4 linked regions of the Arabidopsis thaliana genome follow. The protein of the gene in region 3 purifies or fractionates together with the protein of the main gene of each other region. This does not show direct contact. Each region holds a gene or a part of one and is shown on either strand. Other genes may lie near its edges. The genes, in order: AT5G40810, AT5G19760, psbB and GAMMA CAL2.

The links.
Region 1: the proteins of psbB (region 3) and AT5G40810 fractionate together in Arabidopsis thaliana (co-fractionation; one large-scale study listed by BioGRID). This does not show direct contact.
Region 2: the proteins of psbB (region 3) and AT5G19760 fractionate together in Arabidopsis thaliana (co-fractionation; one large-scale study listed by BioGRID). This does not show direct contact.
Region 4: the proteins of psbB (region 3) and GAMMA CAL2 fractionate together in Arabidopsis thaliana (co-fractionation; one large-scale study listed by BioGRID). This does not show direct contact.

What each region holds. Positions count from the first base shown.
Region 1 is NC_003076.8:16,336,235-16,344,782, reverse strand, and holds AT5G40810 (Cytochrome C1 family), read right to left. Parts: upstream 4,921-8,548; 5' UTR 4,781-4,920; intron 4,613-4,780; 5' UTR 4,584-4,612; coding exon 4,524-4,583; exon of another isoform or gene 4,195-4,523; coding exon 3,983-4,194; intron 3,875-3,982; coding exon 3,595-3,874; intron 3,513-3,594; coding exon 3,441-3,512; intron 3,351-3,440; coding exon 3,234-3,350; intron 3,114-3,233; coding exon 3,048-3,113; intron 2,573-3,047; coding exon 2,456-2,572; 3' UTR 1,856-2,455; downstream 1-1,855. Other genes in the region: ATR (Ataxia telangiectasia-mutated and RAD3-like protein), read left to right, coding at 1-390, 480-674, 774-923. UniProt on the Arabidopsis thaliana protein: Component of the ubiquinol-cytochrome c oxidoreductase, a multisubunit transmembrane complex that is part of the mitochondrial electron transport chain which drives oxidative phosphorylation.
Region 2 is NC_003076.8:6,677,336-6,685,603, reverse strand, and holds AT5G19760 (Mitochondrial substrate carrier family protein), read left to right. Parts: upstream 1-3,549; 5' UTR 3,550-3,758; coding exon 3,759-3,875; intron 3,876-4,279; coding exon 4,280-4,363; intron 4,364-4,608; coding exon 4,609-4,670; intron 4,671-4,774; coding exon 4,775-5,136; intron 5,137-5,643; coding exon 5,644-5,858; intron 5,859-5,956; coding exon 5,957-6,013; 3' UTR 6,014-6,298; downstream 6,299-8,268. Other genes in the region: TUA3 (tubulin alpha-3), read left to right, coding at 1,130-1,242, 1,325-1,539, 1,617-1,816, 1,928-2,436, 2,528-2,843; AT5G19750 (Peroxisomal membrane 22 kDa (Mpv17/PMP22) family protein), read right to left, coding at 6,477-6,557, 6,860-6,946, 7,057-7,149, 7,240-7,312, 7,468-7,562, 7,839-7,926, 8,131-8,268. UniProt on the Arabidopsis thaliana protein: Catalyzes the transport of dicarboxylates, such as oxoglutarate, oxaloacetate, malate, and succinate, and of tricarboxylates, such as citrate, isocitrate, cis-aconitate, and trans-aconitate by a counter-exchange mechanism across the inner mitochondrial membrane.
Region 3 is NC_000932.1:70,419-77,159, reverse strand, and holds psbB (photosystem II 47 kDa protein), read right to left. Parts: upstream 4,790-6,741; coding exon 3,263-4,789; downstream 1-3,262. Other genes in the region: petD (cytochrome b6/f complex subunit IV), read right to left, coding at 672-679; petB (cytochrome b6), read right to left, coding at 868-1,509, 2,314-2,319; psbH (photosystem II protein H), read right to left, coding at 2,454-2,675; psbN (photosystem II protein N), read left to right, coding at 2,780-2,911; psbT (photosystem II protein T), read right to left, coding at 2,977-3,078; clpP (ATP-dependent Clp protease proteolytic subunit), read left to right, coding at 5,278-5,348, 6,216-6,507. UniProt on the Arabidopsis thaliana protein: One of the components of the core complex of photosystem II (PSII). It binds chlorophyll and helps catalyze the primary light-induced photochemical processes of PSII.
Region 4 is NC_003074.8:18,029,891-18,037,541, forward strand, and holds GAMMA CAL2 (gamma carbonic anhydrase-like 2), read left to right. Parts: upstream 1-5,044; 5' UTR 5,045-5,216; coding exon 5,217-5,610; intron 5,611-6,506; coding exon 6,507-6,883; 3' UTR 6,884-7,151; downstream 7,152-7,651. Other genes in the region: AT3G48660 (transmembrane protein, putative (DUF 3339)), read left to right, coding at 179-243; IDN2 (XH/XS domain-containing protein), read left to right, coding at 1,350-1,746, 1,832-2,553, 2,628-2,717, 2,795-3,082, 3,190-3,399, 3,489-3,725; AT3G48675 (egg cell-secreted-like protein (DUF1278)), read left to right, coding at 4,302-4,661; CXE12 (alpha/beta-Hydrolases superfamily protein), read right to left, coding at 7,296-7,651.

The sequences.
Region 1 (8,548 bases), on a different chromosome or scaffold from region 3:
ATTCTACAAGATATATACATTTCCTGTGGGAAGTTTGATCGGCAGAAAACAAATCCTCAAATTAAAAGAATATATGATCAATGTGCTGTTAAAAAGGAGTATGAGATGCTGAAGACCAAAATCCTCCCTATGTTCCCTCCGGTTTTCCATAAATGGTTCTTGACAACGTTTTCTGAACCAGCTGCTTGGTTTAGGTCACGTGTAGCTTATGCTCACACCACAGCAGTTTGGTCCATGGTTGGGCACATTGTTGGGCTTGGTGACCGTCATGGAGAAAATATTCTCTTTGATTCTACTTCGGGTGATTGTGTTCATGTAGACTTCAGTTGCTTATTTGACAAAGGCTTACAACTGGAGAAGCCTGAGTTGGTGCCATTCAGATTGACCCAGGCAAGAAACTGCAAAATCGTTTGTTTGTGTTCTGTTGGTATTTTGTTTTCGTTTGTCATAATAGTGAATTGTTATTTTCCAAACCACAGAACATGATTGATGGTTTGGGCATCACTGGATATGAGGGCATCTTCATGAGGGTATGTGAAATCACTCTCACAGTGTTGAGGACACATAGGGAGACGTTGATGAGCATCCTGGAGACATTCATCCATGATCCTCTTGTGGAGTGGACAAAGTCACACAAATCAAGCGGAGTAGAAGTTCAGAACCCACATGCTCAGGTTTGCATAATCATTTAATGATTCTCTTTCATGTCAGTTCATTTACCCTTTCTTTTTTTTCTAATTGCTTGAGACAACCACATGATTTGGCAATTACAGCGGGCCATAAGCAGCATTGAAGCCCGGCTGCAGGGCGTGGTTGTTGGTGTTCCGCTACCGGTAGAAGGTCAGGCTCGCCGGTTGATTGCCGATGCAGTCTCACTTGAGAATCTTGGGAAGATGTACATCTGGTGGATGCCCTGGTTCTGATGAAAATCTCTGAACACCAGCTGTTGTTAAGTTCACACTACACCAGTTTTCATAATGCCATTTATGTTAATACAGTAAGTTGACATGCAGATAACACTATCCTATGAAAACATGGGTGGCTACAAATCTTTTTGACATGCAGATGTTACTTGTATCATAGGCTCCTTGTGCACAAACTTCCTGTAGAAGTTGAAGCTAAAACAGTACATAAGCCAGGTCTCGCACTGTTTCATGATTCTTTGTGGAGAACGGTCAGTAACAATAGTGTTAACTGGAGCGGTCTTGGCTGCAAAAGTTTTGAATGCTTGAAAGGTCTTAACTGAGCCGGGATTTTGTTGGTTGCTTTGATCTAGCTCTGGTCATGAGAAAGATAGGTTTGTTAAGGTTAAAGTGAAGACTGATTTCCTGATAGATGATGTTTGGGTTTAGGCGATGGGAAAATCCGAATCGGATTCGATATTAGCAGCGGATCAGGCACGTTTGCTGCTAGAATGGCTGAAAAGAATCTGAATATTATCGGTATTACATTAAATATAGATGCTCCTTTCAGCGAATTCATAGCTACAAGAGGGATTTTTCCGTTGTTCAGAGGGAGTTTGGATTAGAGATTCCCGTTCTATGACAATGTTTTTGATCTCATTCATGCTTCTAACGGATTGGATTTAGCGGTTAGTAGTAAACCCGAGAAGCTAGAGTTCTTGATGTTTGATCTTGATCGGATCTTGAAACCCGGTGGATTGTTCTAGTTAGACAATTTCTATTGCGGTAATGATGAGAAGAAGAGAGTTCTTACGCGTTTGATAGAGAGGTTTGGGTATAAGAAGTTGAAATGGGTTGTTGGAGAGAAAACTGATGCTGAGGTTTTTCTCTCGGCTGTTCTGCAGAAGCCTGCCAGGATTTGATTGGTTTTTTTCTTCTTTTTAATCAAGATTTTGATCTTTTCATAGGTTATAAAAATTTGAGCTCATTACATTTTTATAAATATTGATTCCAAGGGACAATTAAAAGTGTGGACTTGTATTTTGAGGTTTTGTCCGATCCTGCATGTTTGTTTCATTGTCTGTAGGATTGTGCAATTTTGTTTGGTAATGTCTTAACGGAACTGGTTTTACATTAACGGGTCTAAATCCTGCCTACATTTTTCTAAGTTTTACAAAATCGAGTTCGCAACAGAGGTAAATTGGTTGTTCTGTGGAGTTTTGGTCTATCAGAAATAGACCACAGATTTTAACTTTTTAACTTTAATAGTTACAAAATCATGTTTTGTGATATACAAATAGGAGAGAGATTGTAAAACCACATTTTTATTAAGACAAACCGAGTCCGGTTTAGGAGACAACAAACCAAAAAGAAATAATATAATCTCAAAATCATGTGTGACTTGAGGTTAAAAAAGCTTTACTTCTTTGCCTCATTAGACTTTCTAAACAATAAACAAAGAAACATGTCTTTTGAGACAAAAAGTGGGATTCACCATTTATCCCTTTCAAGATTAATGATTATTACCCAGAGAAAAGGTGATCTTCACGGGATTAGTTAACAACGTCGAGAACAAGCTTACGGGATTTGAGTACTGACCATTTCAGTCTCCTGTAATACGCAGCTTGAAGCAGAGCCAAAGACAGTAAGAATATCCATTTGAACCCCATCTGCACACACATACAACCAACGTTAACAGATATCTAAGCACAAAGAGTTGGATTCTCGGTATAGCGGGTTTTTTTGGGTCGGTTTAGAACCAACATGACGGTTTTGAATACAGAGTAACAATACGGTTCATGTTTGATAATAGTTTTGGTCTGAGATTAGCAGCCTCAAGAAACAAGCAGTAGTGTGGTCAACACAACTATGCAACTAGGTGTGTTCAACACAACTATGCAACTAGGTGTGTTCATCCCGCTATACAGAAGACAGAACCAAGGAAATCTTAACACGGATAAAATGGCGATACTTTTTCTACATCCAAAACCAATCTATACTATGCCGGTTTAAGTTTGGTAACAATTTTCTCAAACTGAATCTGAAAATCAAATAATCAGAATCCAGATTGATATTCCTATTGCAATCTCGTACATATGGAAACGACAGCTTAAAACATGGAATATATGAAACTAAGAAACTTACCAATTTCCTCTCTTCCATCTCTGGTTCAGCTGCCCAGGACAAGAAGGATACAACATCTTTACCCATCTGCATCATGTTTTTTAAAAAAAGAAAAATTAAAGATTATATAATTGACTCAGAGGAAAGGTCAAATCTGATAAAACTTTATGGTCTGCAAATTATTTTCTTAAGCAGAGGAAAACTAACCTGTGCTTCTGTTGCAGGAGTTCCATCTTCATATTCCACAGCTTCATCGTTGAGCATTTTTGGCATAGCGATTGCTCCACCAGGGAAATAAGGATTGTAGTGTAGCCCCTCTCTGATCTGTACCCGTTAGTCACAGGATTATTTCTAACTTCCAACAATTTGAAGTTGTAATAACAAGTCTAAAGCAAAAATAGGAGAGAAATTTACCGAAATTCCAGCAGGAGGATCACGATAACCAGTCAACAGAGCAAAGACATAATTTTGGCCATTGTGACGTGCCTGGAAGAAAATAGCCAAATTGCTTAGATCATAGTAGATGAATTTTCTAATTGTATACAAATGGAGAGAAAGAGCACCAAACCTTAGTTACAAGACTTAGATCCGGTGGATACGCTCCTCCATTGGCGAACCTAGCAGCCGATTCATTTGAGTATGGTTCAGGAAGCCGATCACTGAGTTTACCAGGTCGGGTGAACATCTCACCCTCATCATTTGGTCCATCAACAACCTCGATTTCAGCTGCCATGGCCTTCGCCTCTTCCTCTGTGTAGGCAACACCCACCAAGTCTCGGTATGAGATCAGAGACATCGAATGGCAAGACGCACAAACTTGCTGATAAACTTGGTGACCACGACGGATCCTGCTCATTACAAATCAACCGTCAGTAAAGCAGTCTCAAATTTCTCTAATTTTCAACTTTAGTGTTGCAATTTCACTATGATGATTGAATTGTAGCTTGAACACTCACGAAGCATGGTCATATGAGCTGAGAATGCCCTCATGTGGCCAAGGGTAGTTAGGACACTCCAGACCATGTTCAGCCTCATCAGCAGATGCAACAGTAGAAAAACTCAATAATCCGGTAATACCAGCACCCATGAGAGCAAATGCTCTTAAACCAGCAGACCCAGCATCTTCATTCGCTTTCTTCGAAGACAACCATGACAATACCGGAGTTGCCTATGGTGGTAGATAATACAGAACAACAGTAAGAAAACAAAAAAAAAGGCCAAGACACAAGAAGGTGTATGCTCAACAAATCAAAAGACTACTTTTTCTGAAAAGAAATCGAATATTAATCATACTCTCGAAGCACAAATCAATAAGTCTAAGTTTCTTATATCCCAAAATCTCCAACGCCACAACAATTCCAGTTACAATTCTTCAAGGACAATCTCTCAGAGCAATGAAGGTGTAGACAGAACCAAAACAAATCATATGATTCTATCTTCAAACAGATCCTAAGCTACAGCAGAAAATCAAAAAGATGTAACAGGGAAAAAGCTCACGACTGATTGGGAATGAAGTTTCCTTCTAAGAAGCTGCCGGATAACTCCTCCTCCAACCATTGGATGAACACTTGTACCAATCGATCTCACTGATACAAACAGAGAAGATTCTCAGCCATTACATATACCCGAAACAATGAGTAAGCCCTAGAAAACTCGATTCTCTATATAGATCCGAAGTTCCAACAAATAAACAAAATTGAATGAAGAAATGGCAGATTCGGATATGAGATGTGTCGAATCGAGAAAATACTCACAGGAAAATGAAGCAACGAGATCGGCGATTGACGAACAGAGGAGGAGGAAGAAGAAGAAGAAGAAGAAGAAGAAGTAAACAGCTACCAGAGAAAATGGATGTCTCCGGATGACGCGACTGGACTGTCACACACAACACAACAACACCTTTCAGATTTTTCAAGTATCATGGGCCTAATTTAATCCATTAAAAGCCCATTAAGGGCCTATCCGTACAGTCAACAGCCAAAAAAAATATCTGGAATATTTCTCATTGGAATAAATGGACCAAATCTTGAAATTTAGTAAAGGGAGACTTTGTGTAAATGATCTATGTGTTGTTGTTTTTTTCAATAGTGAAGAGTTCATTAGTCCAGAATGTTCAATTACAAAAAGATTAACACAGGCTGAGATCGAGATCACATTCTGGCTTGTTTAGTAAATATGTCGATCGATAAATTATTATGGCTTGCATTAACTCATTTTATAGGGTCCAAAGCGAGGCTGCTTTGAATCTAACATGCATTATTGTAGTTCAATATCGAGAGGCGCAAATTTGAAAATACAACATATGTTTCGTATGCTCTCGGGATACTACATCGACTCCAAAATTATAATCTTCCTTAAACTTGAAAATGTGTTTCAATTTTACATAGTACGGGAAAATGTAAATGAGAAATTACATGTTCGCTTTTGCTAGGTAAGTTCATATATTAATTCCCACAGGTTTGTGAATGTTCATGGTATGTTTAATATCTGTTACTCATCTTGAATATCTTTGCTGAATAGAATCTCTTATACCTAAAAACAGAATTTTAATTAAGCAGGAGAAATTCTCATCATGACTCAACTCAAGCCGAATCATTAGGTTTTTGCAATCATAAGTTGTGGTTCGGAAAACGAATTTGGAATCATCAGAAAATTAATGAATGAGACATCGTCCTGGAAGCTTTTCTACATATTTTCAAGCCACGAAACAGTAACTTTCTTAATATGTTGATTGGTGAGTCCTTTAGTGTCTCAAGTGGAAGTAGTTTTTCATTTATGAGAGATGATTTAATATGAGTCGGTTTGAATGCTATGCATTTCCTTTCGTGTCTTAGAGAAATGCCTCTATTATGTTTTGGCTTTGGGGAATACCTCCTTTAATTATGTTTTAAACTTTGTGATCTTTGAATCACTCCTTCTTGTACTTGTTTTTATGTGAATGAATGAAAACAAGCCTTTGTAAAAAAAAAAACATATTCTTCTCTTAACTTTATCTACAAGGACCATTCAGCTTTATCAAAATTAAAAGCTATGCTATTATCTTGTCTAAGAGCTAGATAGCGATCTGCTTTTATTGGTGGTATGAAGGAAAAGTATAATTATATGATTAAGTATGTCATTATAGTAATTTTTCTACCTAAATGAATGTTAATTAATTTAGTTTATTTTGGGATGAGGCACCTCCCCAGCAGGTATCTTAATAACATATCAAATAAGGGTTTCGATTTGAGACATGTTTCCACATTGTATCACGAATTGTTCATCAGTGCCTAATTAAGAAAATATACAGTTTAAAATTTGTGATTTTAAAATAATAGTAATTTTCTTATAATTAAAAAATATTTATGTATCATGACCAACGCCTATTTGCTTGTAATGTCGGGTTACTTTCACTCCTTTATCAAAATTGTATCAAATTTTTGTATTTGCGTATAATAATTGTATTATAATGTTTATATATTTTGTAACCTTGTTTTATATCAATATATCTGATTTGACAAACAAAAAAAAGAAATTAAACAACCTAACATTATTTCTTTCAGAATTTAGTGTGTGTTTATAGGATTTTAAATCTAATTTTATATGAGGTATTAGATAGTGGTAATGTATTATGTTAAGAAACGAACTTAAATAATAATAAAATAATAAATATGATTTTTATTGGGTTTTATGACAAGTGAAAAGAATCCACTCTAGCGTATTTCAGTATGTTTTTACCGATAGAATTTATCCCAAAAAAAAATGACAAGGTGAAAGAATACTTATGCTTTTGTGTGATGTATTATGTAAAGGTAATGAAAGATACGTATGATAGGTTTATTCCGTGAAATGTTTTTCATAGATATCAAATGCAAATGATAGGTTTATTCCGTGAAATGTTCTAACCGAACCTAAATGATTAACACACCCAAAACCACACCAAGATGACTTTAGCTATAGAATGAGAGCACATCCCTAGAACCGGAGCTACATAAGTACATAGATCCGACCATAGGACAATGAGAAGACCTTATGGGTCATTGCTTTACACTTCCATAAATAGAGACACAATATATACACATGTATATATTTCCAAATGTGCCCTGACATGCCAGTTTTTTCAATTTTGAAATGGAGGACACTTCATGCAATTTGGTTGGTTGGGAGGACAAAGAAGGACCATACAAGAGTCTTGAAATGTGGTAAAAAACACCAGATGCTGTTTTAGCCTGATCATGGGACCCATACACCTAATTTTATCATATACTTATAAATCTCATATTAATAAAGAGCAATAAGCCAATCAGATCACACATCGCAGTTCCCAGAATTATTTGGGTGCTTTGGATAACCATCCAATTAAATTATCATATAGACCTATGTGGAGAGAGATATATGTTATAAAGTCACATTGCCTATAGTATAATTTAATGTTTGTGTGTGCCTGCTTTTTAATCGGCTTCGACCATACATATTTGTTTATTTCCTTTATATGGAGAGCTTAGTTGATATATCTCGAATCTCAATGCTCGTTTAAAGGATTCGAGCCCGAGATATTTCAGAAGATTTCAGTCATATTTTATACAAATACTTGCTGCTAAGTAGTCTACCATGCCATTTATAGCTGGAAAATATCATGCAAAACCGAACCATCTCCTTTCCGTACAGTTTCTATATTGCATAAATTGAAAAAGAACTAAAAAAAATTTGATTAGAGCCACAACTGAATAATAAAGCTATAAAAGTGGACTGAATACCAATATACCATCTTGTACAATTTTGTTTAGCATGTAATTAATTAAGATTGTATATGTATATAATTAATAAACCACATTTAAACGACTATTAAGAACAAATAATGTTACACCTATAATAAGATAAATTATGAGATATGTATTTTCTTATAAATAAAATTGAATAGTTATTTGTAAATATTATATACATTCAACTAAATTTTCTATTTAATTAGTTAAAATTCACATCTATTAAAATTCAATAAAATAAAAACAAATTTTTGTAATACTGTATATACTAGTTTTATTATAAAAGAGTTATTCCTAAGTTTCTTAATAATTTTTCTATATATTTACTTAAACAGCCATGCATAAACTCAATATGTTAGTGTCACAAATATATAACATTGTTTCAAAAATTGCTGGCTTCTTTGAATATGATCACTCATGCATGTATGAATGAACTCAAGCAAAGTAAATAAACATTAAAAAAAACATATATACACACATATGTAAAGCCGATATACTTAAATTAGTCCACATTATGGCTTTGATGTTTTGCAGCATGGGTTAGATAGGCTACTCCCAAAAGCTAGCTCATATCACTAAAATCAAAGGGTGGATAGCATCACTTATTTTCTATATTTACATCCGTCGTCGAATGATACAAATGAGTTACCATCACTTATATAATTGATATCAAAAGTGGCAATGGGATTTTAGTACTTCTAAAAATATATATATTGATATGAGATATATTTTCTCCTCAATTTATATAAACTTATATATACACACATGCATAATATATAT
Region 2 (8,268 bases), on a different chromosome or scaffold from region 3:
ATCCATTATATCTAAACAATTGCTTAACCCACTTTGACATCTTTAATCTGAAACCGCTTAGGAAAAATATGCTATATAGAATTAATATAGCTGATTGTCTCAATTCATCTAACTTAACTTAGCAATTAGAGAATTAATCTAGCTGACTATCTCAATTCATCCAATACAATCTTAGAATGATCAATTTATATGAGTTTATCTTTCGTATCATTACAATCATTTTGGTTATCAAACCATCATTTTGGTCGTACCTTTATCCACTCATTGAAAAATATAAAAATATTTGGCTCCGATTAGTAATACGCGTAATTGCAAAATGACATTTTTTTAATACGAGTATATAAGAATGTTACCAATTAAGAAAATTAACATAATATTTATTAAAACGCAAAAATACAGAATTTTTGTTTTCTTCATAGAAAATAAAAATAAAAATTCATTATGTAAATACATATTATATGTATATTTAATTTTAGACACATATATTTGTTTGTTTTATTATGCAATTTTTCATTCTACAAATTTATAGTTTTGCAAATTTTTATTCTCCTACTTATGTCATTAAAAGGATTATACGGGGTTATCTCAGAACTTGTGATTTCAAATCTTGAAAACACGTTTTACGTAGTCAATATTTATGTAAGTTAATTAATAAATAAATGCACTAAGAGAATCAAAATCTTATAACAAAGACAACCTTACATGACGTTTCTTTTCTGTTTGGCGCTTACAAAAACATCCTACTATAACCAATAGTTATTTAAACCACTAAACCCTAATTTAACCTATAATATCGATTTAGGTCGGTTAAGCTATTATTTACCTCACTCATACTAACGAAATACCTAAATTCCGGTAAGTTATTTAAACCGGATAAAAATCGACACCTTCCAGATCTAGATCCAGATCGAATCTCACGTATTTTGTCTATGCCCAGTCCCAAAGGCAGGCTGTCACAACTTGGCGGACCCCAACCAATTATCAAATCTCATTCAATAAATAATCAATTTCCCACAAAAATCATGGAAATTAGGAAAAAAAGAAGATCTCGCTCACCGCTCTCATTTCCTCAATTCTCCGTCCGTCGAAGAAGCGAATCGCTCGAAATTAGGGTTTCTACTGAGAGAAGATGCGAGAAATCATAAGCATTCACATCGGACAAGCTGGGATCCAGGTCGGAAATTCGTGTTGGGAGCTTTACTGTCTCGAACATGGAATCCAGCCGGACGGAATGATGCCGAGGTATAAACCCTAATTCACTCTTTGTACTCTGTTTCTGTGGATCGGAAGATTTTTGAGATACGAGTCTTTTGCGTTGTTGCAGTGATACTACAGTTGGTGTTGCACACGATGCGTTCAATACTTTCTTTAGCGAGACTGGTGCTGGGAAGCATGTCCCTAGGGCTGTCTTCGTTGATCTCGAGCCTACCGTTATCGACGAAGTTCGTACTGGTACTTACCGTCAACTTTTCCATCCAGAGCAGCTCATTTCTGGGAAAGAAGATGCTGCTAACAACTTCGCTAGAGGACATTACACTGGTGAGAATCCACTTTCTGCTTGTTCTAACTTGTTAGGGTTTTTGAAATGGTCCTTAGAATGCTTCTTGTAATTGCAGTTGGGAAGGAAATTGTGGATCTATGTCTTGACCGTGTGAGGAAACTTGCCGACAACTGTACTGGCTTACAAGGGTTTTTGGTGTTCAATGCTGTTGGTGGTGGAACTGGTTCTGGATTGGGTTCTCTGTTGCTAGAGCGTTTGTCTGTAGATTATGGAAAGAAGTCTAAGCTTGGTTTTACCATATACCCTTCTCCTCAGGTACTCTTTCTTTTGCTAGACACTGAAGTAGAAACTCTTACATGACATGTTTCTATAGTGGTCTAATTTGGATGAAACTTGGTTTTAATGCATATTCCTCTGTGATGTCAGGTTTCTACTGCTGTTGTAGAACCTTACAACAGTGTTCTCTCAACGCATTCCCTTCTTGAACATACGGATGTAGCTGTCCTCTTGGATAACGAAGCCATCTATGACATTTGCCGCAGATCCCTAGATATCGAGAGGCCAACCTACACAAACTTGAACAGGTTGATATCACAGATCATTTCATCCTTGACAACATCTTTGAGGTTTGATGGTGCCATCAACGTGGATATCACTGAGTTCCAGACCAATCTTGTCCCATATCCCCGTATCCATTTCATGCTGTCATCTTATGCACCAGTCATCTCAGCCGCCAAGGCTTACCACGAGCAGCTATCAGTCCCTGAGATCACCAATGCCGTTTTTGAGCCAGCTAGCATGATGGCAAAGTGTGACCCGAGACACGGAAAGTACATGGCCTGTTGTTTGATGTACCGAGGAGATGTTGTTCCCAAAGATGTTAATGCTGCTGTTGGCACCATCAAGACAAAGAGGACTGTTCAGTTTGTTGACTGGTATGATCTAGAAATGGATAAAGCTGCTACTGTTTCTACCTTCATGTTGTTATTATATAATAACTCCTTTGGCATGGGTTTTGTTTTGCAGGTGCCCAACTGGGTTCAAATGTGGAATCAACTACCAACCTCCAACAGTTGTTCCAGGTGGTGACCTCGCTAAGGTTCAGAGAGCTGTATGTATGATCAGTAACAACACAGCAGTTGCAGAGGTGTTCTCACGGATCGACCACAAGTTTGATCTCATGTATGCGAAGAGGGCATTTGTCCACTGGTACGTTGGTGAAGGAATGGAGGAAGGTGAATTCTCTGAGGCACGTGAAGACTTGGCCGCACTGGAGAAAGATTACGAAGAAGTTGGTGCTGAAGGTGGAGACGATGAAGAAGATGAAGGTGAAGACTATTGACACCTTTTCTCAAAAAAACTGCAACCAAAAAAAGTTTTTTCGTTTATCTGTTTTCACTTTTGATTCTGTTGATTGTTTAAATCCTGTAAAATATTCGTTCGGTCTTCGTGTTTTATCTCGGTTGGATACATTTTCATTGGTAGAGCGACCATTGCGAGTTCCCGAGTTCATTATCAAGCTTTTGTTGTACCAAACTTTGATAATCTTCTTACAACTGTCCATTTTTCCTTGAAGTATAATCTCGTCTATCGGTGCGCTAACGTTTATCAACGTTCTGTATATGCTTTGTTGTCGTATCAGCTAATAATACATTTATGAGATTCAACTAATGTTAACAAACCACGTTGATCTTCACAAAAGGGCATCAGAATTATCAAATTGCATCAGAAATACTGCTCCACTGGTCCACTATCTAAAATACGGCGTGAAAAATGCCAAAAATTATTGAACAAATACAAAATACAAATACAGAAGATCAATTTTTTTAAAAAATTAGAATTTATTGGACCCAAAAAATTCAGAATACTAACGATTTTCAACTTCATACTAGAAAATTAGAAATGGACGAATGTCAAATCTAAAATTCATATGAATGCGTAATAAATAACTCTAAATATTTGGATTGCGTAAAATCCGAATGGTGAAAAGTAAAGTCCAAATTAATAAATTTAGAAAATATGTCTGGCTTAGATCAGATCTCATATGCAAATGGAAAAAAATAAAAATTAAAAAGGCAAGGGTTTGGTGCAATTTAGTTTCAGTTGGGTGGTGTTAATATAAAAGGCCCATAAGCTTCACACTTCATCGTCTCCTCTCCACCAAGTGAATCTCTTTCTCTCTCTCTTTTTCTCCGCGGAAGGAATCTCTTCTTCTGGTTGCGTTTGAGTCCGTACGAAAACAAAAGAAAAGAGAGAGATGGCGGAAGAGAAGAAAGCTCCAATCAGTGTCTGGACTACCGTGAAGCCCTTCGTCAATGGCGGTGCCTCTGGTATGCTCGCTACTTGCGTTATCCAGCCGATCGACATGATTAAGGTCTGTCAAATGTTTACGGATACACGTTTCTGTATCACCCATCTCTATGTCTAAGCTCGTTAGTATTAACAATTCTTGCTTGATTTGCTGGTATTGATACCTACGAAATCCGTAAATGTTGTTCATCAGATCCGAGTCTGTAGATTTTATCTCTCAGATCTGAGTTTTTGTTTTGGCTTATTATAATCAAATTTCATTGCTCGGAACATAGTCAGACTCGTTTGAGTGTGAATTGTTGCTATTGATACATGTTTAGATGAAATGTTCTAGTTCAGATCTGGATTTTGATTAGAATAACGTTCTTAGGTTCATCACAATGTGTGATTCTTCGCCTGTGTTCATAGGATTTTTAAATGATGTGAATGTAATTAACTAATACTTTGTTTTGTTTCTGGTTGGTGAAGGTGAGGATTCAACTTGGTCAGGGATCTGCAGCCAGTATAACCACCAACATGCTTAAGAATGAGGGCGTTGGTGCCTTCTACAAGGTATAAATTGCATTTCTGGATGCATTACTTATCTTGAAGATGTACGTTTTGTGTAGTATGTTTTCTATTGATATGTTCATGACTTTTGTTGATTTGTAATGTATATGATTTCTGCATTTCCGGATCTGAGTCTCAGCTATTCAAAGAATTAATTTCCTTATCTAACAGTCTTTCCAACAACAACATTAGTTATACCCCATTGAAGATGTCTCCTGAGCTTATTTGATGTTAATTTTTTTTAATAGGGATTATCTGCTGGGTTGCTGAGGCAAGCAACTTACACGACAGCCCGTCTTGGATCATTCAAGTAAGTTAGTCATTCGTCTTTCGTCTTGAGCCCATCCAGATGAATAGATTTTTATTGCCTTATGGTTATGGATAAATCATCCTCTCTTCTGTCAATCTTATTAGGTTGCTGACTGCAAAGGCAATTGAGTCTAATGATGGAAAGCCTCTACCGCTGTATCAGAAGGCACTATGTGGTCTGACAGCTGGTGCTATTGGTGCTTGCGTCGGTAGTCCAGCCGATCTAGCACTTATCAGAATGCAGGCCGATAATACTTTGCCGCTAGCTCAGCGCAGGAATTATACCAATGCTTTCCATGCGCTTACCCGTATTAGCGCTGATGAGGGAGTTTTAGCACTTTGGAAAGGGTGTGGGCCCACTGTGGTCAGAGCTATGGCTTTGAACATGGGAATGCTTGCATCTTATGATCAAAGTGCTGAATACATGAGAGATAATCTTGGTTTCGGGGAGATGTCTACGGTCGTAGGTAAGCTGCTCTTCCAAGTTTCTCATACAGTAAGAATATATTTTTTCTGTGAGCAGGTAGATAGCAGTTAGAGTCAAGGATCCTAAGAATCAATCGTCTTGGAAATTTACATTTGTAGCATATAATCTCCTGATTACACGAGTGTTAGATTGTCATAAATTAAATGTGTATTTCACTTAATACAATCTATCCAAGAACTACACCAAGGAAAATACTTTATTAATGAGAGGACTCTCTAAACTCTCAACCGTTGCCCAAACCCAGATCTAAGACCAATCCAGAATGGATCCCATTGCGTTGTCCTTACTCCCTTTTAAGAGCTACTAATTGTAAGGTCGCTCAGTTGGCAAAACTACACTTTTCTCAACTTCCTAGGCTTGTTACACTAGTTCTGCACTAGACTTAACAAGAAACCTTTATCAGTATTTTCATATGGTCATGTAATCTCTGTATGATAAATTGTAGTTAAAATAGATCTCTGAGTTTGGTTTTTGTTTACTTTAACAGGAGCAAGTGCTGTTTCTGGGTTCTGCGCTGCGGCTTGCAGTCTGCCATTTGACTTTGTCAAAACTCAGATTCAGAAAATGCAACCGGATGCTCAAGGAAAGTATCCATACACAGGTTCGCTCGATTGTGCGATGAAAACCTTAAAAGAAGGAGGACCTCTGAAATTTTACTCGGGTTTCCCAGTTTACTGTGTCAGGATTGCCCCTCACGTCATGGTATAATAGCTCTTATCTCCCTTTTTTGTTTATGTTATTGTAATTACCACTTCGTGATTGCCTCTAAGATAGTTGTTGATCGGGTTTTCTTTTGGCAGATGACATGGATCTTCCTAAACCAGATTACGAAATTTCAAAAGAAGATTGGTATGTGAGGAACAAATACAGCAGCAAAAAAATAAGATGAGAAGAACGAAAACACAATTGGAATTGTGTTCATTTGCTTTTTAATCATATACATAACCTGCCTTAAAAGCATATTATTGTAGCTGTTTGAACTTTAATTTTTTGTTTCGGTCGGTGATTGGTCCGGTGAATTTTAAATTTTCTTCTTTGGTGGAAGTTTAAGACACATAGCCAGAGATTTCAAAATTTTCATACGAACTAAAAAAATTCTCTGAATGAGGAAACAATAAATATATGAAACATTGATGATGGGGAAATATTTGAAGTGCTTGAAGAAAAGCTTGTTTCAACTCTAAGAAAATGTCAAGTGCAGGGTTCCCAAATAATTGTTTCGAAACACCAAACATTTGCATCAGCAGACAAGACCGTTTCCCCAAAACTCTGCCGATAACAATCCAGCAACCACCTCTAGGCTCCAGGTAAGAAACATGTCTACTTTGCAACAACTTCTTTGTGAGCTTTGAATGATAAAATCACATTCCAAGCCAAAGCCACTACGTTTGAAGCAAGTACCTGCAATAATTCATATATAAGACATCGATTCATCCTCAAAGCCAAAGAAAATCTTGCTAAGCATACTAGCTAGAAGCTAATGTCATTCAAGCGTAATTCATCTCAAGCTCATCATGTCAAAGATGTTTTTAACAAGGGCTCAAAAACATGAAAATGCGTAATAAATTCTCAAAGATTATACTAAGCAGAGGATTAACAGCGTGTGGGTCGTTATTCGTTATGTATGAAGCATATCTATCTTAACCCAATTGTATTTTTTTTCAGACTCCCGTTTCATGTAGTCACAGAGTTTAGTATCAAACCTGGTAGTTCTGTGGAACAAATCTGAAGTTAAGAAACTGAAATGGTATCCATAGCTGCCAATTTGCTATCATTGCACCAGTCCACTCCTATACAACCAGCAATTCATGGATTCAATTAGAACACCGCAAAAGATACAAAGTATCAAATTTAGATTCCTGCACCGGAAATATTAAGTTTAGTTAGGTTTTAATCCAACCTGTTGTAGCTTCGGTATGACATTTGATGGTTTTCCTTCAAGTGTCACAACTGCTGATAAGAAAACTCCAACAAAAATAGGAGCAAAAACAAACTGCAAATACAAATTTTGGTGTTAAGTGCTAACACAGAGGAAGCAAGATGGGAACATAATTGTTAGACTGGGAACAGGAAACTTTGCTACCTGATCCAGTAGAAGTCGTATAACTGCGCCTGATAATCCAGAAGCTGTCACCACTTTGCTCAAATACAAATACCTAATGGATGGAGTTGAGAGATTTCAGAGAACAGAGAATAAGCATAAGTAATATACCAATGGATGCATAAGTCTCTTCAACTGAAGAACCACTAGCAGAGACGTAATATAGTTAGCTTTTGCGGTGTCATACGAGTGAAAGGTCCACGGAAATACCAGAAATGCAATGTTGGACCGACTAGCCCTAAGCCCAAGAAGGTAAAGGTGAGTGTCCTCTTCTTGTCCAGCGATGAGGTCTTGTTGATAGTAAGCTGCAACCAAAAGTGATACGAATAAGCAATGTCGCTCACATATCTAGCAGAATACGATCAAGCATTATAAAGAAAATGGGGCTTTACTACATTATCCTGTATTTTGGGTCTATTAGCTTCCATTCTAACTTTAAAAAAGAGATAGCACAATTCAAGTTAAAGTCTGTCTGTTCAGAAATACATAATGCAGCAGCTCATGAATACTGTTTTATCTCGATATATCCTGAATAGTGAAGAATCCAAACTTCAAAGATAGCACAAAAATGAGAGAGTTACCTGACAGATCAAATCTCCAACGAGGTTCAAAAGTGCTGCGGTCACAGCTTTGGTCAAAACAGGAGAGTTTGAGAGAAGAGCCTGGTACCTGAAGCACCATAGAAAAAGGCACACAAAGTGTGTTTATGCTCAAGTCAAAAGCAAAGAATCATACTAGAAAAAAAGTGTTCCGTGAGTAAATTATTAACACATCCAAGAAAAATTTCCAACATCTGCTTCAATGAATTGCTTTTCAAAGAAACATCTTTACACAAGAACAGGAGTAGTGACAGGAGCAAGTAAGAAAAATTACCATGAGAGAAGTGACCACTTCTTTCCTTTTCCGTCGCTTCCATCACCACCACCGCCGCCGGAACCACCACCACCACCGCCTGAACCACCTAACCCGCCAGAGCCACCTGAATTCCCACCTGGGACCGCAGAGACCCGG
Region 3 (6,741 bases):
GGAACCGGACATGATAATTTTTTATCATCCGGCTCGAGCAAGAATTAACCAAACTAAATGAATACATACAAAAAATATAATTTAATATGTAAAAATTAATTATCCGATTCCAAAGTTATTGCAACTAAAGATTCAAGAAATTCCATTCTTACAGGTAAATGCTCAACACCCACGTAAGCTTAAAAAGTTTATCATGATTAAGTGCTTTCTGGGTCGTCTCATACCTTATAAATTCGTCCTTAATCTCAACAATTATATCGAGATTTTTCAAATACAAAGGATTTACTTGTTACTAATGGAGTCTACCCTCTACTCTTCATTAGATCCTGTATTCACTCCGATAGTATCATAAATCGAGTCGATGCAGAGAAAATGAATGCATTTACATACTATTACTATTAATAATTATTTTCTTTTTTTTTTTTAGTCCAAAATAACTAAAAACATAATCAGGATTTTGTTCCATCCCTTAATCTACTGGATTTTACGGAGCCCACTCATCCACGACAGCGTCGGGTACGATCATAGAAAAGATTCTCTTCAAGTGAACCAGCCTATCCCCTGTATGGGGCTTACACAGTGGTTGGAACAAAGACACATTTGGTTGTGAATTCCAATGTAGCAGATAAAGTAATATTTCTGCACGGCCCGATCAATAGTTCAAGTCACACACTCCCATAATCCATTATCTCTTCATAGAATTCCCTTCAACTTTTTATGTCAAAAAAATAATAAAATATTGTGGAGTTGAAGGGAAATATCCAAATACATGTTTTATTTTTTTAATAATCCATATTTATAGCAATAAAATACTATCGTTCCTTCACCAAGTAATAAGTAAGTACAAATACCTAGAATCTATATTATTTATAAGGGACCAGAAATACCTTGCTTACGTATCATTAGGAAATGCATTAACATAAAGACGGCCGTAAGAAGAGGTAATACAAAAGTGTGTAAACTATAAAAACGAGTCAAAGTGGATTGTCCAACACTAGCACTTCCGCGTAATAATTCTACAAGAGGTGATCCTATTACCGGAATAGCGTCAGGTACACCTGTTACAATTTTGACCGCCCAATAACCAATTTGATCCCAAGGTAAAGAATAACCTGTTACACCAAAAGATGCGGTCAATACACCCAGAACCACACCAGTAACCCAAGTTAATTCGCGAGGTTTTTTAAAACCACCGGTGAGGTATACACGAAATACGTGCAGGATCATCATTAGGACCATCATACTTGCCGACCATCGATGAACTGATCGGATTAACCAACCAAAGTTAGCTTCAGTCATTATATATTGAACAGAAGCAAAAGCTTCAGTAACGGTTGGACGGTAATAAAAAGTCATAGCAAATCCCGTAGCTACTTGTACTAAAAAACAAGTAAGGGTAATTCCGCCTAGACAATAAAATATGTTGACATGCGGAGGAACATATTTACTAGTTATATCATCTGCAATCGCCTGAATCTCAAGACGTTCTTCGAACCAATCATAAACTTTATTGAGATAGGTAAACCAAGGTTACTCCCCCTCCAAGAACTGTATATGAGAATTTCATCTCGTACAGCTCAAACAAAAAAAGACCCAAATACTGATTGAAACAGATATGGAATATAAAGTTTTAAACTTGTCTCTCATTCAATATTATTTTTTATTATTTAAAGATATGAAAGAGTCAAAATGCGAAAGCTCGTCTTTGTGGTTAAATGCCAAAAAATCAAGTAAGCTCATTCGTCTTTATGTTGTGTTGATCGTTACAGGCCTCTTGAATCTTCTAGATTACCTATCTTTATTGTCTTTTTTTATTTGGTATTTGTATGGAACGGGGACAGGGATTTCTTCTTGTTTTCTTTATTATTGATAGGAATTCTCTTGTTAAGACCCTACTTAACTAATCAATTGAAACCTCAGATTCATACGAGAACCACGATAATTTAATGAAACCTTCAAAGTCCAAAGTTCACTGAGTGAGAACCATTGGATCATCACTTATTCAATAAAAAAAAAGCTATAATGACTAAAAACATAAAATACAAAGAAGCGTTTGTCCTTTGATCCAAATAAGAGTTTAAAAGCAGAAAATTTTTTTGATTTATTAAAGTTTATAAGATAGAACGGAAAGAAGTCCGGCTACGAGGTTTGAGTATTTAAGTATGAATCATAGTTCGAATACTTTGTGATCTATTTGATCTATTTCGTGCTCCAGATACTCGAATGAATATCCGACGAAGTAAAACCATCTTGATAAAGATGACAGACCCCATTCTCTGTACTATCCATAGGGTCAATTCTAACAAGTCACACACTCATATTCCGGAAATATACAATGCAGAAAAAAATTTCGCGGTCGAACTACCAAAGGAGAATAGGCTAAAATTGTTAGACCTGCATACTTTACTTTTTTGTATCGAGCTAAAAGCTAGAACTTCAAGATTCTTCTCAGTCTAATTCACTGAAATTCCATCCAGTAGAACAGAAGAATTATAAATCTCCAAAATAATAGATAGGAATACCGCAAATAGAGCCATTGCAACACCCATCAAAGGGGTCGTTCCCCATCCGGGAGCTACTTTACCATATTCGGAATTCAATGGTTTCAATAACTTCCCTACAGTAGTGCTTCTTGGACCAGATCTAGAACTATCTTCAACAGTTTGTGTAGCCATAAATCTTATTTTGTATTCATTACGATCTGTTGACTTTGTATACCATTCCGTTGTAAATAAATGATCTTAGCATAGATCCGGTGTGGTCTTTCAATTCTATAATAATGGAAACAGCAACCCTAGTCGCCATCTTTATATCTGGGTTACTTGTAAGTTTTACTGGGTATGCTCTATATACTGCCTTTGGGCAACCCTCTCAACAACTAAGAGATCCATTCGAGGAACACGGGGACTAGTTAACGTAATCAGCCTCCAAATATTTGGAGGCTGATTACGTTAATGAAGATAATGAAAAATTATTTCATTTTTTAGTTGAAATTTTAGGTGGTTCCCGAAAAAAAATAGCGAAAAAAATTATCCCTAAAGTGGATACTAAGAGAAATGTATAAACCAATGCTTCCATAAATTTGATCGTGGTTTACAATTATAGCTTTCATACCTGTTTTGTTTACGTTTTGTTTACTTGGGAGGATAAAGAAAGAAAAAGAGTCAAAGAAACGGCAGCGATTTAAATAAAGATTCCTACAGTACCCTACCTATTAAATAAAATAACAAACAGAAACTAGAAGAAAAAAAGCAATGTTGCATCAGACTGCTTGTCGTTTTGTAGTTGGATCTCCAAGTTTTTGGAATGCCCCGAATTCCACTTGAGCATCCAAATCTGGATCAATACCAGCAAAAACATCTCTGAAGAGGGTTCTAGCACCATGCCAAATGTGTCCAAAGAAGAAAAGTAGAGCAAACGAAGCATGTCCAAACGTAAACCAACCTCTTGGGCTGCTACGAAAAACACCATCAGATTTCAAAGTCGCACGATCTAATTCAAAAATCTCACCCAATTGAGCCCGTCTAGCATATTTTTTCACAGTTGCGGGATCACTATAACTCACTCCATTGAGTTCACCACCATAAAACTCAACAGTTACACCTACTTGTTCGACACTATATTTTGATTCTGCCCTTCTAAACGGGACGTCAGCTCTAACAATTCCGTCTCCGTCTACCAAAACTACCGGAAAAGTTTCAAAAAAAGTAGGCATGCGGCGTACAAAAAGTTCACGCCCTTCTTTATTTCTAAAGACGGGGTGGCCTAACCATCCAACAGCTATTCCATCCCCATTGTCCATTGAACCCGCTCGGAATAACCCCCCTTTTGCTGGATTATTACCAATATAATCATAAAAAGCTAATTTTTCAGGAATTTTCGCCCAAGCTTCTGATAAACTTTGATTTTCAGCCAGTCCAGCACTAACTCTTCGATATATTTCTTGTTGAAAGTATCCCTGATCCCATTGATAACGAGTAGGACCAAATAATTCGATGGGAGTAGTTGCAGAACCATACCACATAGTTCCAGCAACAACAAAAGCTGCAAAAAAGACAGCAGCAATACTACTGGAAAGGACGGTTTCAATATTGCCCATACGTAATCCTTTGTATAGACGTTGAGGCGGACGAACACTAAGATGGAATAGGCCCGCTAATATACCCAACGTCCCTGCTGCAATATGATGAGAGGCTATTCCTCCCGGAACAAAAGGGTCAAAACCCTCCACGCCCCACGCCGGGTTTACGGGTTGTACCTTTCCGGTTAGTCCATAAGGGTCGGATACCCATATTCCAGGACCATATAATCCTGTTACATGAAATGCGCCAAAACCGAAGCAAGCCACTCCTGAAAGAAATAAATGAATTCCAAAAATCTTGGGCAAATCCAAAGAAGGTTTTCCTGTACGTTCATCACAAAAAATTTCTAGATCCCAATATACCCAATGCCAAATAGCTGCCAAGAAGCACAAACCAGAAAACACTATATGTGCTCCGGCTACCCCTTCGTAACTCCAAAGACCCGGATTCGTTATAGTCCCCCCTGTAATATTCCAACCGCCCCAAGAATTGGTTATTCCTAAACGAGTCATGAAAGGTATAACGAACATACCTTGTCTCCACATTGGATCAAGAACGGGGTCGGAGGGATCAAAAACTGCTAATTCATATAGAGCCATCGAACCAGCCCAACCAGCAACTAGAGCAGTATGCATTATATGAACAGCAAGTAAACGACCGGGATCATTCAATACAACAGTATGAACACGATACCAAGGCAAACCCATGGAAATACCCCTTTATCAACGAAAAATAGACACTATGTAACTTTATTGCATTGGAAAAAACTATGCTACGTACCCCCCCTTTTTAGGTAATTATTTCGGAGAAAGGATTAATATTTGTTCTATTCTGTTAGTAATAATGGAACAATTCAATTCATAGAAAAAAAGGGAAGCGGATCTATTCTATATCCGATAAGTACCAATATGCAATGGGGGTTAATCCTATTTTCTATGAACCAAGATAGCTATTGTTGTTGATCATTCAGAAGCCCGTTCGTAAAAAATTTCCTTTAGTTTTATTCATTCTCTCTTACTTTACTTTTATTTTATATTTTATTTTAGCTTATTCAACTTATGTATTAAATATCATTAATTTAAATATGATTAATAAAGTAGGAAAAAAGGATAATAGTATTAAAAAACGAAACCCCAATTTTACGTTTCCACATCAAAGTGAAATAGAGAACTTCATTCTCTTTTTTTTTCATTTCATGCCTATTGGCGTTCCAAAAGTACCTTTTCGAAGTCCTGGAGAAGGAGATACATCTTGGGTTGACATATAGTGCGACTTGTCAGATATATCGGGCTATATGGGATTTCCCCATTTTCTCCCTCGATCGAGATATCCTCTGTTTCGCTCAAAAAGATTGATTGAATTATCAAAAATTTGTAACGCGAAGCGCAAAAAATAAAGTGGAATTAAATGCAGGGAGTATTTAGATTGATATTAGATTATCAAAATTTTTTTATGGTTTACGTGATCGGACTAATAAAATGAAGTATCCAGGCTCCGTTTAGCAAAAACCCAATTGATAATTAATATATAATATTTTTATAATTACTACTTCTATTATATGCAAAATTATGATAAAAACTCTATAAAAAAAATTGAAACAGGGCGATCTAAAACTGTTGCTCAAATCAAATACAAATAATATATAATATAATTCAAAATTTGTTGACTATTTGACAGAAGACAAGTGAAAGAACTGAATTGAAAAAAAAGAAGGAGTAGTAAAAAAAGACGCGGTATTTGGTTCATTTGTCCTATATGTGCAAATCAAAATCGGGCAAATTTTTCCTTTTACTCGGGGTAGAGCATAAACCTAAAAAATGGAATAAAAAAAGGAAGAAGCCCGTTCAGGAACAAGAAAAAACCATCGCCATTTCAACTGAATCTCGATGAAAAAAAAAAATATCAATGAATCAATCATTTTTTTAGAGGATTTTAATATCTAATAAAAGGCGCCAAAACTCAAAATTTCTTTTACTTTTGGGGCAAGCCCTTCCGTTATAAGTTAGAAAGAAAAACCCTCTATGAAAAAAGGGTAGGTTGGAATCAACACATTGATTTTTTCACAATTTTTATTGAACCGTATGCACCAAAAGGTGCCTGTACGGCTCCTAAGGAATAAAAAATTATCCTAATCAACCGACTTTATCGAGAAAGATTATTTTTTTTAGGCCAAGAGGTTGATACCGAAATCTCGAATCAACTTATTAGTCTTATGATATATCTCAGTATAGAAAAGGATACCAAAGATCTTTATTTGTTTATAAACTCTCCTGGTGGATGGGTAATATCTGGAATGGCTATTTATGATACTATGCAATTTGTGCGACCCGATGTACAGACAATATGCATGGGATTGGCCGCTTCAATAGCATCCTTTATCCTAGTCGGAGGAGCAATTACCAAACGTATAGCATTCCCTCACGCTTGGCGCCAATGAGTTTTTTTATTTTCGAGAAAAAAATACTATGCCTTCGCCATTTGAAATATGAATTAGTTAAGTAATAATAGCATGGCACTTCGAATTCAATATGAAATTTTTTAGATTAAAAAAAAATTCGATTATATATTGAAAGAGTAGTATGAGATAAGGAAGAGGTTTTTCAAATGATATCTTACCTATTCGGGCACATTTCAGCGTCACAAACTTTGTTTTCACACC
Region 4 (7,651 bases), on a different chromosome or scaffold from region 3:
CTTCCCCCGGTTGTCTAGTTTTATGGTTTGTTTTGGATTTTGTTTCTTCTCTGTGTCTTGTCAAAACGTTATGAATTTGTGAATCTGAATATGCATTAAGTTAATTTCAAAATTCGCTATGTTTGATTCTCGGTTTGGTTTAAATCTGGTTATGGCGTTGATTTGAATTTGATGGTAGGCACTAGGCAGTTAGCCTTAGTTTGGTTTATTGGTATTCGAGTTCAAATTGGAATTGAGTACTAAAATGCTCTGTTACTCATTTCTGCATCTTGAGTTCTTATGGATTTGCTTACGAAATGTTCAATTTTGTTTGGTCTGGTTCGGTTCGTTCTGAAACGAATGTCGAGAGTCTTTTGCTTGACTCGAAACTTGCCTTGTGTCAGCGTGTAGGGGTTTGTAAGAATAAAATGGGCTTTAAAATTAAGTTATTAATGGGCCAACACATGATCCACCAAGAAGAAGTGATCCGGTTGCATCTTAGATTCTCATGTGATGTGATTGAACGTTGAAAGTGCACAGAAGTAGACCTGTTTAAAGATGTTTCACACTTTCACTGCGTACTATGTAACTAGTGGAGTCAGTCCCGTCATGCGTATGAGTAAAGCGCGTCGATACCACGGGAACACACAAAAACATGTCACCCTAGTAAAAACTGTGTTCGTTAGCTCATTGTAAATTGCAGTATATGGCATAAACAATTGTTTCTACAAATTCCAAGAATGTAAGAATCAAGACAATAAAATGTGACTATATCAAGAACTTAACTAAAGTTTCATCCACTTAAATGAAAAAGTTGATTTGGATAGAACAAAAGACGTAATATTCGATGTGTTCTCTCTCTCTCCCATCTTTACTTTTATTGACTTTTTATTTTCACTTTAATGTGTGATGTAAAAATAAAAAGTAATTATTTGTTCAACCCTAGGTGAAATAAAGGACGACCCAAAACAAGTGACGAGAGAGCAGAGAGAGCTTCTTCTTCCGGACACTGAACAGTGAGAGCACCCATCTCCAACCTCTTCCTGTAAGTTTCCCCAACTACTCTGTTTCTTAAATGTTCTGCGTTCTTTAAAACAAAGTATAGAAGATTTAGGTTGTAAGATCGATCTCGTTTGATTTCAAACTCACTATCTGAAACTCTTTGATTACAAACCCATCTTCATAATCTCTGTAAAAATCAAACATGCAATTCACTTAATGGTGCAAAAACCCCAGAAGAGGGAAAAAGGAATCAAATTTAGTTTATAAAAGCAGTGGAATTGAGTTGCATTGTTGAAATATTCAAAAGCAAGATCAGATTTTTGATAAAGAATTTCACTTTTGATTGCAACTTATAATCAAGGAACAAGATGGGAAGCACTGTGATTTTAAGCTCAGATGATGAAGATTCAGATATTAGTGAATCTGAAATGGATGAGTATGGAGACAAAATGTACCTAAACCTTAAAGGTGGGAAGCTGAAAGTGAGACTCTCTCCTCAAGCTTTTATCTGTCCTTATTGTCCAAACAAGAAGAAAACTAGTTTTCAATACAAAGATCTTCTTCAACATGCTTCTGGAGTTGGTAATAGCAATTCTGATAAAAGAAGTGCAAAGGAGAAAGCAAGTCACCTTGCTCTTGTCAAATACCTTCAACAAGATCTTGCTGATTCAGCTTCAGAAGCAGAGCCTTCATCAAAGCGTCAGAAAAACGGAAACCCTATTCAAGATTGTGATCATGACGAGAAGCTTGTGTATCCTTGGAAAGGTACACACTTTAAAGGTTCTTACTTTTCTCCTTAAGATTGTACTGCAATGTGTGTTTAGTGTTTGTGTATATGTGGTTGAAACAGGTATTGTGGTGAATATTCCAACTACAAAGGCACAAGATGGTCGATCTGCGGGCGAGAGTGGATCGAAGCTAAGGGATGAGTATATTCTAAGAGGATTTAACCCGACTAGAGTTCGTCCTTTATGGAACTACTTGGGACATTCAGGAACAGCTATTGTGGAGTTTAACAAAGATTGGAATGGACTTCACAATGGTCTTTTGTTTGACAAGGCTTATACAGTAGATGGTCATGGGAAGAAGGACTGGTTGAAGAAAGACGGTCCCAAGTTAGGTCTTTACGGTTGGATTGCTCGTGCTGATGATTATAACGGTAATAATATTATTGGAGAAAACTTGAGGAAGACGGGTGATCTGAAAACTATAGCTGAGCTTACGGAAGAAGAGGCGAGGAAACAGGAATTGCTTGTGCAGAACCTGAGACAACTTGTAGAAGAGAAGAAAAAAGACATGAAGGAGATTGAGGAGCTTTGTTCAGTTAAGTCAGAGGAACTTAATCAGTTGATGGAAGAGAAGGAGAAGAATCAGCAAAAGCATTACCGTGAGCTGAATGCTATACAAGAAAGAACAATGAGTCACATTCAAAAGATAGTTGATGATCATGAGAAATTGAAGAGGCTGTTGGAGTCAGAGAGGAAGAAACTCGAAATCAAATGTAATGAGTTGGCAAAGCGCGAAGTGCACAATGGAACCGAGAGAATGAAATTGTCTGAAGATCTTGAACAGGTATCCATTTACTCTCTGTATCTCTCTTTTCAAGATATATGTTCAAGAAATAATTGGTTTTTTTCTCTTATCAGAATGCATCTAAGAATAGCTCTCTTGAACTAGCTGCCATGGAACAACAAAAGGCAGACGAGGAAGTTAAAAAACTTGCTGAAGACCAAAGGGTTAGTGACTTTCTTCTTCTTTGTAAAAATGGTTGGGCTTATTTTCGTGATTACTGAGAAAATTCTGTACCTAACAGAGGCAAAAGGAGGAGCTTCATGAGAAAATCATAAGACTAGAAAGACAGAGAGATCAGAAACAAGCGATTGAGCTAGAAGTTGAGCAGTTGAAAGGACAGCTCAATGTGATGAAGCACATGGCATCAGATGGCGATGCTGAAGTTGTGAAAGAGGTGGACATCATCTTCAAAGATTTAGGTGAGAAGGAAGCACAACTCGCAGATCTCGATAAATTTAACCAAACTCTTATCCTTAGAGAGCGCAGGACCAACGATGAGCTTCAAGAAGCTCATAAAGAATTGGTAAACGTATGTATCATTCAAAGTGTTGTTCTTTTCAATCACATCGAAAAGCTATGAGAAAGCTTGACATTTTACTAAAATCTTGGTTTTGTTTGTTTCATGTGCCTTCATAGATTATGAAAGAATGGAACACAAATATCGGTGTTAAGAGAATGGGAGAGCTCGTGACGAAACCATTCGTGGATGCAATGCAGCAGAAGTATTGTCAGCAAGATGTGGAGGACCGAGCAGTTGAAGTTCTCCAACTTTGGGAACACTATCTCAAAGATTCAGATTGGCATCCATTCAAGCGGGTCAAGCTCGAAAATGAAGATAGAGAAGTGGTAAGACCGCCTTCTTGACTCTGTTTGTTATGTTGAATCTCTCTGAAAGATTAAAAAGCTTTTTTGGTGTTGTTGTTAATTGTGTTTAGGAAGTGATAGATGATAGAGACGAAAAGCTGAGGGAGCTAAAGGCAGATTTGGGAGATGGTCCTTACAATGCGGTCACGAAAGCTTTGTTGGAGATAAACGAGTATAACCCGAGTGGAAGGTATATTACAACAGAGCTATGGAACTTCAAAGCAGATAAGAAGGCTACACTTGAAGAAGGTGTCACTTGTTTACTTGATCAATGGGAAAAGGCGAAACGCAAGCGTGGAATGGCTTAGAGGTTTAACCATTTTTGATAACCGAACAAAAATATGTTTTCATTTGCAATTGTTATTTGCTAATATAGGATTTCGATTGATGGTTTGCAGCTGCAAGATGATGGACATGGGACTGAATAAAAAGCCGATGCGGTTTTTAGTTGCAGAGAAATGTGTTTGGTTTGACCAAACTTTGGTGGATTCTGTTTGTTTTTCTTCTCAGAACTTAGTGAATAATTGACACAACTTTGATGTCTTGCATCGGTTCTTTTCATTGTAACATTTGTAGGAGTTTGGCCGCTTTGGACAATAAGAAATAAAAATATCATTGTAATATAATTCACATGTAAAACAACTAGATTTGGCCTCTCTTCTGTCTCATATCTTAAGCATGTCATTTAGAACCTTTTATTGTAAAAACAAACTTTGTCATGAGTTACTTTTTGTAGTCAAATTTGATATTGACCCCTTCCTTATTATGCTAACACTGTTTTCATCTTATAACCCTATAAATCTAAGTTTCGTGAATATAGCCAAAATCATCTACATCATTGCAAAGAACCTTAAAGGAGAAAGAAGAAAACCGGCTTGAGAGAGATGGAAAACAACTCAGGAGCTATTCTCTTTGTGATCTTAGCTATGACCATTGTTCTTCAAGTGAGGCCAGGGTTCTCTCAAGCACTCCCTACGATCCCCGGACTTTTCCCACCGGGTCTTCCTATTGATATCATAAAATGTTGGTCATCTCTCTTTAACGTCCAAGGATGTGTACAAGAAATCTACAAATCGATATTTTCTGGTCAGTTTGCTAGCATTGAAGCCCCATGTTGTAAAACGTTTTCAGCTATAGATACAAACTGTTGGCCACATATGTTTCCATTGAACCCATTCTTCCCTCCTATTCTCAAGAACAACTGCGAGCGTATTGCTACGACTCCATCATCAACACACAAGTGAAGGCTACACACAAATGTTGCGAGCCAGTTGTTAGCTTCGAGGTTTAAGAAGTTCTTTTATCGATTTGAGAGATCACAATGCCCAATAATCCAAAATTCTCCTTGCAGTAATTTTTTTTTTTTTGTAATCTTTAGCTTAAAATAAACAAAGCTAAGCTTTTTGATGTACTCGTATGTGTTTGCCATGTAGTTTGTTAAAAGAGTGGTTATAACATAAACAAAATTTTGTTTGCGTTTATATATGAAAATATTGTTCTTACACTATGGAATAAAACATATTTCAGCATTTAAAATTTGTAAAAACGACGAACACGAACGCATATCAATACCATACCAAAAAGATTATATCGTACATGAAACTTGTTGCAGACAATGGCATGACTAATGGGCCTCTATTAACTTAGCCCATAAGGCCCAATAAAACTTTCCAAATAGTTTCATTTTTCAGATTTTGAAGAATCTCCCGACGACTCCTCTCTGTCTCCTCCTCCGGGAAGCTTTCTGTCTCTCTCTCTCTCTCTCTACACAAGACCTTGAAGAATCCGATTCCATAACAATGGCGACTTCGTTAGCACGAATCTCTAAAAGAAGCATAACATCGGCTGTTTCATCGAATCTGATTCGGCGTTACTTCGCCGCGGAAGCAGTAGCGGTGGCGACGACGGAAACACCTAAACCGAAATCGCAGGTGACGCCGTCGCCGGATCGGGTAAAATGGGACTACAGAGGCCAGAGACAGATAATTCCTCTGGGACAGTGGCTACCGAAGGTAGCTGTAGATGCTTACGTGGCACCTAACGTTGTGTTGGCTGGTCAGGTCACCGTCTGGGACGGCTCGTCTGTATGGAACGGTGCCGTTTTGAGAGGAGATCTTAATAAGATCACCGTTGGATTCTGCTCAAATGTCCAGGAACGGTGTGTTGTTCATGCTGCGTGGTCGTCGCCTACAGGTTCTTGTTCTTTGTCATTTTTTCGGAATTTGAGTCTCTGTATGGTTCCATTGTAGCTTCTAGTTTGAGTTCTGGATATCCAATTGCTGTAGTTACTGCTTGCTAGCTAATGGAATCATTGATATTGGAATTTAGGGTTTTCATTTTCATCTTCCATTTTGATTATGGAAAATGTAGAGTCTCACCTTTAAGGAGATTTTACACTTTTATCTGAAGTAGTGAAGTGTAAGTAAGCATATTTGTTTGGAGTGAAGATGTCCCCAGATCAAGAATCATGAATGATATTTGTTCAGTAAAGTTAATCTTCAGAGCATTTTGCGTTTAGCTAGACAAGGATGCATAGAATTGCGTAGTTCTTTAGGTGATTAGTGATATTGGAAGCAAGAAACCCATTGATGATATGTGCTTGATTTTAAAATTTAGGTAATTCAGGGGTTGAATAGATTAGCATGGTGGAGACCATCTTGTTTAGTTGTAGAAAGTTGCCTAGCAGCTCTGGAGAAGTTTCAGGAACTATGTCATAGTAAAGATTTTTAGTTATGCGGAGAGAATTTTGCAGAAAGTTGATATTATATTCAGTGGTTGGAACCGAGATTCTGAAGCTGCGTCAAGCTGAATGAACATAAGCGTCTTTTAGTCTTACCAAGGTGGATTCCGTGTCAAAGTCTTTAGTTCAACAGCCTCCTGGTTTGATTAAGCTGTAGTTTACAACTAGTACTTAATTACTTGATTCACCATTTTTTCGGGTTAATAGCTCTGTATTATCAACCAGTCTTCATGCTTTTTCTATACTAACATCTTGAAGGATAGAGCATACTGTGGTGCTGCTTTTGAATTTTGATATGATAGATAAAAATCTGATCTTAGAAGATACTTTCTACTTTGATTTTTTTCAGGATTACCAGCACAAACATTGATCGATAGGTACGTGACAGTTGGTGCATACAGTCTTTTAAGATCATGCACTATCGAACCAGAATGCATCATCGGGCAACACTCAATCCTAATGGAAGGTTCACTGGTCGAAACCCGCTCAATCCTAGAAGCTGGTTCTGTTTTACCACCTGGCAGAAGAATCCCATCTGGTGAACTATGGGGAGGCAATCCAGCAAGGTTTATTCGAACACTCACCAATGAAGAAACCTTAGAGATCCCGAAACTTGCTGTTGCCATTAACCACCTAAGTGGAGATTACTTCTCAGAGTTCTTGCCTTACTCAACTATCTATCTAGAGGTTGAGAAGTTCAAGAAATCCCTTGGAATCGCCATCTAGAAAGCTTCTTCCAGGTTTCTGGCTACTTCCCTCATTAAGAAAGCTTCTTCGTTTTCGGAATTTGATCTGAATAAGTAGCTGCGGAACAAGAAAAAGAGCAGAGCTGTGTTTCAAATGTTGTCTTCTCTGTTTGTTTTGTTTAAGTTCATATCCTTGTGTTCAAACTTTCTATGAAGATGATAATGGTGAAAACTGGAAAGTGTAAAACTTCTTTCGTCTCCCCTCACAATTGGAAAAGCTAATAATCTCGTAGTGTTATAGAATTAAACATCTCGTACTAAAATATTTTCATCTTCAATTTTTATTGTGTTGCTTTGGGCGAAAAGCCAATCACTGAAACATTACAGAAACTGAGAGACGCAACTAAAATATGTAGTACCAAATTATTCCAATATCTCTAGAGAGCACAAAGCTAGTTCCCTCCCTTAATAAACCCTGAGAATTTATGCATGACTTCAATAGCATTATCACATTCAGGTTTCAACAAATGAAAAACATGATCTTCTCCTTCACTCTCCACCACTTCAACCTCTCCTTTCCAACCAGACTTCTCAAGCTTAGCCGCGTAACCCCAACCCTGCCTCACCAACGCATCTTTCTCAGCCACCATTACCAAAACCTTACCACAACCCAACCCAGACAAATCCACCGACTCTGATTGCACCACGTTGAGCAACGGATCATCTGTTCCATCTTTGCTATTAGGACTTGCCATCATCCAAAACGCCTCTATCTTCATCCTCAACGTTTCATCTTTCGTATCCTTCT